Bombyx mori: one gene and its partners. The protein of the gene in region 2 interacts with the protein of the main gene of each other region in a pairwise test. Links are inferred from orthologs where the notes say so. Each region holds a gene or a part of one and is shown on either strand. Other genes may lie near its edges. The genes, in order: paxillin, breast cancer anti-estrogen resistance protein 1 and SH2 domain-containing protein 3C.

The links.
Region 1: the proteins of breast cancer anti-estrogen resistance protein 1 (region 2) and paxillin interact in a two-hybrid assay, tested with the Drosophila melanogaster proteins (2 studies listed by BioGRID). The link is inferred for Bombyx mori from reciprocal best matches to the Drosophila melanogaster genes p130CAS and Pax.
Region 3: the proteins of breast cancer anti-estrogen resistance protein 1 (region 2) and SH2 domain-containing protein 3C interact in a two-hybrid assay, tested with the Drosophila melanogaster proteins (2 studies listed by BioGRID). The link is inferred for Bombyx mori from reciprocal best matches to the Drosophila melanogaster genes p130CAS and CG9098.

Annotation. Positions count from the first base shown.
Region 1 is NC_085116.1:14,656,614-14,660,276, reverse strand, and holds part of paxillin, read right to left. Parts: intron 2,020-3,663; coding exon 1,772-2,019; intron 1-1,771.
Region 2 is NC_085117.1:10,879,505-10,883,267, forward strand, and holds the start of breast cancer anti-estrogen resistance protein 1, read right to left. Parts: upstream 2,898-3,763; 5' UTR 2,783-2,897; coding exon 2,717-2,782; intron 77-2,716; coding exon 1-76.
Region 3 is NC_085107.1:15,460,663-15,463,826, reverse strand, and holds the end of SH2 domain-containing protein 3C, read left to right. Parts: coding exon 1-428; intron 429-1,378; coding exon 1,379-1,547; intron 1,548-1,621; coding exon 1,622-1,799; intron 1,800-1,888; coding exon 1,889-2,250; 3' UTR 2,251-2,663; downstream 2,664-3,164.

The DNA of each region.
Region 1 (3,663 bases), on a different chromosome or scaffold from region 2:
GCTGTGAAGCAGTAATGCGTTTCGGTTTGAAGGGTGGGGCAGCCGTTGTGACTATACTGAGACCTTAGAACTATATCTCAAGGTGTGTGGCGCATTTACGTTGTAGATGTCTATGGGCTCCAGTAACCACTTAACACCAGGTGGGCTGTGAGCTCGTCCGCACATCTAAGCAATAAAAAAAAAAAAAAAAAAAAAAAATATACCCGGATATAATGATAATCATAGCCGGGGATAAGACACATGGCCACCTGGGCCCAAACTAGAATTCCTGTACTATGGAAACCAGAGACTGGTATGCATACTCATATACTCATAACACTTGTTTATTGCCTTTGTAGGCAGACGAGCCCAAGGTCTACCTGATGGTGAGTGGTTACCGTCGCTCATGAACGGTAGCAATGCGAGAGGTACAGCCAAGCCGTGGCCTAGCGCTAAGTACTCTCCGTAAGTTTCGTTTGAACACTGTGAAGGTGAGTTCATTCCATAGTCTGATGGTACGTGACAGAAAAGGTCTCTGGAAATGCACTATGGATAAACGCAGTGGTACTAAGTAATATGGATGTAATAATATGGAAATAATAAGTAGTATGGATGAACTCTACTCGGGAGGCGGGCAGTGCGATGGTAAAAACGAAATGATGGGACTATCTCAAAGAATTCCTTATAACACTCGCCATAGAACACCCAGAAAAAGAAAAAACAAACATGTTCATCACACAAATGTTTCTCCAAATATGGGAATCGAATCCACGACCCTCGGCTCTGAAGTCTGCAGGAACGCTAACCAACTGTTACACTAGCAAGTAAGTCGAAAAGGATAAAAATATTAATTAAACTTTCTATACTGTTGTCTGTGACACCGGTTTTTTTAAATTTTATAAAGTATGTTTATAATGGGCGTGTTCAGGTTAACAATGAACTTTCTTAATCATACAAAAAATTAACAGCATCCATTCAGGGCACGATTTCATTTGATTCTTATCTTGAGCACACAAAACATAAGCCCCGTGGACTTCTTATCAACAAAATTGTTTCATAACGAATCGATCAACAAAGCTGATAAAACTCCACGCACGGTATCTGATGAAACATGCCTATTTTATAATCAAGATAAACAAGATCTTTTGACTTGTGTCACTTTTTCTTTTCTTTTCAATTAACGTGGCAGCCAGACAATCTTGCACCCCATCTCATTTACAGGGTCAACCGTTTCTGGCGATGCCAGGAGCGCAAACAAGCTGTTGTCTACTCACTTAGGACTCTTTTCATTACTATGAAGGGGTCATATCATAGTTTTAGGAAAACGCTGGAAGTTTCCAGAAACGGCTAGTGCATGTCAACAGTTATATGTTCACGTTAGGAGAACGCTAATCGAATTACTTTTTGAGCGATTTCTAACCATTAACAATCTACTAATCATTCGTCTATCAGCAATACAATGACTAGTTCCAGAAAGGGCTGACGCATGTTAATTCTTCTTTATTAATAATTGTAGTTTAAACTCAAAAATGATTGCGACGTTGAAGTCGCAGTGGGCAGGACATATTGCTCGTAGAACGGATGGCCGTTGGGGCCAGAAAGTTCTTGATTGGCGACCGCGTACCGGAAGACGTAGCGTGGGTAGGACTCCCACAAGATGGACCGACGATCTATCGAGGTTCACGGGGATCCGCGGGATGCAGACAGCGCAGGACCCGTCTTTGTGGCGAGGCTTGGGGGAGGCCTATGTCCAGCGGTGGACGTCTGTGGGCTTATAAGAAGTTAAACTCACCGAAGCAGGTTTTGCATAATCCGAGCTAATATTCCTAGATCCATTGATGGATCCGTAGCCGGTGGAGGTGGGGGAACTCAGGCTGCCTGACGAGCTGAGACGGCCCGGTGAAGTGCCTCTGCCTAGAGGAGACCCAGTTCTGCCCGGGGAACTGGTGCGACCGCCGGGCGACGTGGTCCTGCCGCTGGGGCTGCTGACTCGGGCGCCGCCAGGGTTGATAGAGTTCTGGAGGTCGGCAAGCAAAGCATCTGGAATTGAAAAGGATTATGATTTTTATAATGTGTTTACGATATGAAATTACAAAGTGAATGTAAAACACGTTTTTGACGAAAATTTAAGCTTTGAATATAACTAGTCAGGTCATAAGTACTGTCACACAGTTAAAACTTTTCTTTTAGAATGCTGGCCACAAAAAAGTTTATTGAATTCGAATTTCGAATTGTTCATGAAAATAAAAATGTATACTTTTAGAATTTTACTCATTTTTAAATATGAAGTGTGGACGCTTAAAGAAGACCGTGTTGCAGTTATTGCGTTGCATCGTTGCGGTTACGCGCCAATTCAAATTTTTAACATACTGAAAAATTTGAATTTAACCAAAAGATTCGTTTATCGTACCCTCAATCGATACAATGAAGACTCTAGTGTAGATGACAGGTCAAGAAGTGGTCGCCCTCGGTCTGTTAGGACTCCAGCAGTGATAAAAGCTGTGAAGGCGCGAATTCAAAGACATCCCAAATGTAAGCAAAAACTGTTGGCCCTTCAGATGGGGTTAAGCAGAACCACGGTGAAAAGGCTTAGGGCTTCGGGCATATCGAAGAAAAACAGGACATCGTTTGAATGCTCGTCTAATGGACCTGAGACTGAAGAGATGCCGCGCTTTGTTGAAGCGGTACGCGGGAAAAAAATATCGGGAAATTCTTTTTTCGGATGAAAAAATTTTTACCGTAGAAGAGAGCTACGACAAACAAAATGATAAGGTGTACGCACACAGTAGTGAAGAAGCGAGCAACTGTATTCCGTGTGTCCAACGACCTCATTTTCCATCCTCGCTCATGGTATGGTTGGGAGTTTCTTATTGGGGCTTAACAGAGGTACATTTTTGTGAGAAAGGTGTAAAAACGAATGCAGTTGTGTATCAAAATACAGTCCTGACGAACCTTGTGGAACCTGTTTCTCATACCATGTTCAATAACAGGCACTGGGTATTCCAACAAGATTCGGCACCAGCTCATAGAGCGAAGAGCACACAAGACTGGCTGGCGGCGCGTGAAATCGACTTCATCCGGCACGAAGACTGGCCCTCCTCCAGTCCAGAATTGAATCCGTTAGATTACAAGATATGGCAACACTTGGAGAAAAAGGCGTGCTCAAAGCCTCATCCCAATTTGGAGTCACTCAAGACATCCTTGATTAAGGCAGCCGCCGATATTGACATGGACCTCGTTCGTGCTGCGATAGACGACTGGCCGCGCAGATTGAAGGCCTGTATTCAAAATCACGGAGGTCATTTTGAATAAACTTTAGTGTCATAAGAATCTATGTTTTGTTAAGTTCATTTTGGTATATGAATGGTTACATAATGAATAAACTTGTTTCAATTATTTTACATTAAACATGTGACAGAATTTATGACCTGACTAGGTATATTCATATGCATGTAGTAGTAAAAAGCGGTTATTTCAATATTACAAACAGACACTCCAATTTTATTTATATTTTAGGTATACTTAGTCTGGCCATAAATACTGTTACAATTAAAAATAAACATATATTACATTTGAATTTGGAATCTGTCATTTTTATATGATATTTCATTGAGTTTTCTCAAAATATAGATATAGAGAACCAAATCGCTGTGATTGCATTACACAAAGTAGGTATGGAGCCAA
Region 2 (3,763 bases):
TGAGCAGGTCGCCTCTTCGAAAAGCTAGCTCGTCCGGAGACTCCGCAATGTTATCATACAAAGCACGCGCCATACACTGCAATATAACAATTAAATTCTTTCAGAAACAAAGGAAGGGTCTTAGAGTTCCTTAATTAGATATTAATGCTATAGCTATAGCTACTTTAAACAAATTTGTGATTTGTTAATCCGCGATAAGGACTTAATAACTCAAGAAGATAATCTTCGGAAAATACCACATGCCAATATCATAATGATCAATCAAGAAACGAATCGAAAACTGATTCGGAGGCGACACTTCGAAACTTAACACTCAAGCAGAAAAGCCAATATATTTTGGATTTAAATAAAATCCTTTCGAGAGTAAAACTCTTGTCTTTTGTGTTCTACTTTAGGCTTAGGCTTTACAATATAGTCTCCTAATAATCAGTTTTGCTCACGTTCATCAAATCAATTTCGTTACAGGACAAAAGCGTGATAAACTTCAATGTGTCAGTCGTATTTCATCCCCATTAGTATTAGACAATGTCGAACGCATATGTTGCCGACATGCAGCTGCGACAAAACCGCGTCCTACGTTCCACCGGCGCATAAAATGACAGTTTCTGTATCCCGTCGTTTGACAGTCGATTCTAATCGATCAATATTATTGACAACAATGGAACAGTAGTTAAATAATTTAATTATCATCCGTATTTAGGAGCACATTTTTAAAATTTGATAAGTACTTATAACAAGTAAATTTTTGTGGTTGTCGAGTAGTTTTAGTGAAAACCGGTGTTGATAAAATCATTATTATTTATTGGCAACGCCAAAAATGGTAATCAAAGAGCTTTTTTCTAAAATACATACACACTCTGACTGTTATTTGAAAATGTAGGTAACAAAGGCGTATGAAATCATTACATATTTTAAAATAACACTATTTTCCCTTATCATAATTAATGTTGGCAGAAATTTATATCTACTTATTTATAATTCCCGAGTATTATTCGATATTGAAAATAGATATACGGTTACGCGGAGTGAGTGCAGTCTATTTGCTGAGACAGTATTGTTAAATGTACTACATTTATTTACGACTAGCGGCCCGCTCCGGCTCCGCTCGGGTCTTTAACAAAAATTTCAAGGATATTTGACGTTGTTTTATTTTAAAAAATAAAATAACACTTATTGCGGCATAACTATATTAGTTAGACATTTGCTGTCGCGGCATTTTTTGTAAATAATAATGTGTTCTACAAAGTCGTAGTACATTCTTTTATTGTATCGTGAATTGCTTATCGCAGCGCACTAAAAAATATTTTAGGTAATTTTTTTACACCTTGGGTTACATTATTGGAGTTTTAGTAAAGATCCCTCGGGAATAGTATAGCTTCCAAACAGTGAAAGAATTTTTCAAATCGGTTCAATAGTTTCGAAGCCTATTCAATACAAACAAACAAGCAAATCTTTCGTCTTTATAATATTAGTATAGATGTTTCTGACAGGCTATGTCCAAAAAAAAAAACGTAAATATAAATACATACTAGTTGCGCTCTTCTTGACGTTTTCGAAATATTAAATTTATTAGGTACATGTCGATTTTATCAATTTCCAAAAAAAAATAATTGAATATCATGTTAACACACGTAGGATCATTTTAGAATGCGTTACTCGCTCGTGAATAAAGGAATCATTATTTTTAATACCAAAACCATAATCTAGGGATACATTAATATACTTCACTTTGTATCAATTCAAGATAAATTGAGGAGTTGATAAAAAGTTGAGATAATTACGCAAAAATAAAGAGAACAGTTATGCCTAGACTGGGACAAATTTGACCAAGAATTCAGATGTCCCGAAGTCCGAATGCTATAAAAGTAACGTATTTTAAAAGTTGATTTAGATTATATATATTTATTTTTAAAAAAAATCGCAATATTACTTTCCGGTCTGAGACTGAATGAATTAAAAATCAAATCTCGGTTCTGTGCAGCGTGCCTTCAGTGAAATCTTACGAGCTTTTTTTTTCAGAAAGCTTCAAAATAAGCGAACAATTAATTTCCTATAGCACTATTGTTGGACGAATAATCTTTCTAATTTTTTATTGAATATTGGAACGATCACCTAGATGGTAGTGCGACTAGATTTTAGAGTAATTTGTGAAGTTATGATATTCCAAATTCCAACTAAAAGAGGCTCGATATCGAACAAAATGGAACAGATTTATTGCCGCCAGCATTTTTTTTTACGTACGTATTTCTATTCTTTTTTTTTTCCTACCTTTGCTGATAGCCTTGAAAGGCTATTTCAGCTTCGCCCTAACGTTTGTAGGTGAGCTCGCGGGGCTCAACCGGAGAGTTGCTAACACTGACCCTAGCAAGAGCAGTGCTTCGCAGAATCTACCACCGGATCGGAAACGCGACCCACTGAGAAGATCCGGCGAGAAACTCAGTGGGCTGTGTCTATGGGTTAGTTCGCTCGTCGAACCCTTCGTCGTAAGCGACGGGTTCGATGAGGACGGTGACCGGAACGTACGTATGTAGTACGTATTTCGTTAGCAAAATTGGTACCCGCCTGAGATTCGAGCACCGATGCATCGCTCAACACGAATGCACCGGACGTCTTATCCTTTAGGCCGCGACGACTTAAAGCACAGCATGTAACATTCCAGCAGACAAGATAAGAAAGAAAAAACGCATAAAATAATCTAATAATCAAATCAACTTACAATGTTTACCCATTTTATGGAGCATGTCTTAACGCTAATTTTTAGGTTAAATTTACAGTTACACATTGTGAACACTGGTTTTTCCAACCTTCTGTAACTATATTTGTTTTTAGAACTTATTATTGAATTTCACAAAATACTTTACAAAGTCTGTATATCAATCAAGCACTAGTAATGAGACACAAGTGATCGCCACAAAGTTACAAAGTGAACTGATTGAAACAATATTAACACTAAATATAATAAATATATTTATTTATATAAACAACGAGTGTATAACCGTTATTGGAACCAGTTGAGTCACAGTGACGTCATTAAGATCGACGCACTTATTAAATTTATGTCCGTTTCGAGATATTGAGACACTGAGACAGGAGCCTATTATTACCAGCCAGTTTGTGACCTTTGGCCAATTATTATTGTGCAAGATATATATAGATAAATAATAAGATTTACCGTCATTATTGTCATGGGCCAAAAGTTTTAGTGTACAAATTAAGTTTTCATTATGTTCAAACCTATACAGTTTATTAACGTGACCACTGATTTTATGGTAATTGTGAACCAGCACGTGTTTGTACTACCATCCGCCTATTTCTGCCCCGAAGCAATCAGTCCTGGCTTGAAATGTAAGACATTACATATGATTGAGACTTCAAGCTCCGATCCCAAGGTTAGAGGGTGATGCTTGAGGTTCAATGTTCAGGTAGCAACTTAACATCGAGGGCTAAGACCATTTTAGTTTACCTTTCTACCTAATATTCTAACCAAAACACTCACAACATTTTGTCAATGATAACAAAAAATTGCAATAAAAATAAATGCTCATACGAAAGAAGAATATCATTTTATAATATTATATGACTTGTACTTTATTTTAAATTAAAGATAATTAAAAACAATGAAAATTAATTGTACGCAGATTGGAACCGCATGAGTTGGTGTGATTCATAGATTCACCATTCACAGAAACTGACATAATATGTAGTTGTTAAATTATTATTGTATAGCACTCGATCTATCCACGTGTGAGGTCATTTTCTAAGG
Region 3 (3,164 bases), on a different chromosome or scaffold from region 2:
AACGGATCCGGAGACTCTACTCAAAGTTCTGCTCATGGAGATCCAAATAAATCAAGAATCGATTCAGATTACAACTTGATTACACCCACCAATAAACAGCAATTCGACTATGATCTTACTGAAGCAAAACTACTTCAATCGGACAACTTGGACTATGTTGTGGAATCAAGGATAAATTTGGGAAGTTTTCAATCCATGATAATACCTACGGGTCTTACGAAGCCACTAGAATCTGAAACTTTGCACGCAATCAAACTACTCTTGAGAACATCCGGACCCCGCATCCTAGCAATTCATTTGACGAAAGTCGATTTGTACTTTTTATTCGATGATGCTATTCAAATTGAGGGGTTAGATAAAACTGCGTCTGGTTTGGAACTATGTTTTTTACCGCAAGGACGACCATTGCGAATGGACGTGATTGAAAGGTAAGACGTGATAAGACTAGTCTTGCCATAAATACTGTTACAAGGAAAACATCGTTTATTTTCTATTACCTACATGAAATATTGAGTACTGAGTTATTTTATATATTAATATAACAGCATTCGCAAATAACTCTAAACTCATTCAAAATTATCTCTAGTGTCCTTAAAACAATCCTTCAAATGTCGTGGTCAATTATCAATTGGAACACACTTTTTCATAATAGAAAAATATGCAATAATCTTATGGATTTTCAAGGGCATCCAAATTATTTTGAGATTTGAAACATGATATACTATCTCAAAGAGTCCATAAAAGATGATCAAGTGGAAATAGGAACGAGTGCGCTTAATGCGAGTTTTTAAACTTCTCGATCGTGTAAAAGTTAACTCTAAAAAGAAAAGTGCGATGGAGTTGGAACGTTTGCCTACGTTTGCCGCTAGAGACGCTGTTTCAACTCCATACAAATTTGAGTTAACTTTTACGTGATAGAGAAGTTAAGAAACTCGCACTAAGCACACAGACAACGGTTAGTTTTCAATTTTCATTGAGTCAGAAATGTTCATTTCCAACCAACCACTAGTGGGTGAATCGAGTTTTATGCCCTGGTTCTAACTTTTATTAAATGGGCCATTCTAGGTTCTGAAAAATGGTGTTGTTGAGAGGTATAGCCTACTCCTCAAGAATTGTATCTTGTACCAGGTGTTTCTAACTAATTCAATAAGTTTTTCACAAAATGTTATCCATTCGTCTATAAATCCAACACTGAAGCTGGATAATGCCCACGTTGTATCTTACTGATCAATTAAGAAGCTACTCGAAATTTAGAAATATTATTTTTATTTTGTTGTAACAGAATTTATAGCCACACTGTGTATGTAACTTAAGATGTTATAATCAAAAAGTTTAATTGTTTCGGTGCTTACATTTATATTGATTGTTCTATTTTCAGAATTGAGACCTTTCGACTCCTCATTGCTGTAACTGTATTGACATGTCAAACAGATCGGCAGCGCGCAGACACACTAAATGATTGGATCGTACTGGCTATTGAAACGAAAACTGCTTTAGGCAATCTGTATGGATTTTCAGCTATAATGTTCGGACTGTGTATGCCTCAGGTAGACATTTTACGAGTACACACAAGTAGAAAGATTTAACAATAAAAAAACTGAATGTTGATTCAATGTTTTAGGTGGAATGTTTAGAGAACGCTTGGAATATTCTGAGAAGAATTTACACTGATAACGCATTTATGTTTGAAGCCAAGCTACGACCTAGTTTCAAAAGTATGAACGAGGGGACTAATCCTTTACCTCCGAATACGACTACCCCATACATACTCCCTCCAGTTCTATGCTTCCATTTGTTTGGTAAATAGATGATGTTTAATGTGATATTGAAACTTGGGGAATATATTTGAGAGTAGATATTGATGTCTGACATTAAATTACTGTTTTAGATGGCGATGGCGGTTCGTTGATTCAACAGGACGACACGTTTCCAGGAAGTTTGATGAACAGTATTGAATTCGATTTCAATGCGACTGCCGCGCATCTCGAAGCCGCCCGACAATTTCCTAGTCAAATAGATATGTTCAAACGGAACTCTAGGACTGTCGTACAAGAAATGTCTTCTTTGGGACCCACTTTAGATCCTAGATTATTGGAACTTTTCCGGACCGAGTTTCATATTAATTTTTTATGGGGTGAAAGAGGAGCTCTCACAACTCCGAATCAAAGATTCGCGAGGCTCACCGACATCCTGACTGCGATGGCCAACAAGCTGGCCAGCCAACCATCTGGAGTTGATGATATTGTGTAATTTTGGATATAACGTTTTGCAACACTACGACTTCCTCTGTAAGATTGTGACCATATCAACGATATTCATTTAAGTGCGACATTATATTTGACGAATCTTTTTTTTTTGTTTAGCTGGTGCAGCTATAGCTGTTGTGGAATTTAGCGAAGCCGAAAAAAATCTTTTTATACATGTTTAAGCTATAATACATTTTATAAAATAATGTGAAGGAATTGTAACTTTAAACAAATAACTGCCAATGTAACATTTAAAGTGCAAATTTTAGGCAAGCTAGATGTCATGTAATATTTAAAACTAGTTTATAAACTGTATGTTAAACAAGTAGCTGTAATTTTAGTTTCAACTTTAGCTAATACGTATTTATCTTTGTTATACATTTATAAAATTATCGTAATAAATGCAATATTATTGTATTCAAATTTTATTACAGAAACCTTTAAAATCCTAACGATAACTTAGGGAAAATCATATTTTGAACTATTTCTTCACAAGACGCTTACAGGACACGTTGCTGATGAATGAGTAAGTATGATCGTTATTGGAAATTGATGAAATAAAAATATATAAAATATTTATCTATGCAAAGATATTCAAGGTCAGTTGTAGTATGTAATTCGCGCGAAAGCGACTGCTAACGACGAAATACGTTTTGATCAATGAATAGTTTAATCTCTGTAAATTAAATGATCAGCTTTAATAAAAAAAATCGCGTAAAAACATACAAAATATACACGATGAATTTTTCAATTCTCCGGCTCTTAGATATGGATCTGCTGAATATTTGAGTTATTTTTTATAGTTCACAATTTTGTTTTCTTTTGCCTTTTGCTCTTACTTTACTGAATCGATATCTTCTTCACTAAGTACATATCATACTGTTAATACAAGTTGTTTTTAAACAAGCAGCATGTGCG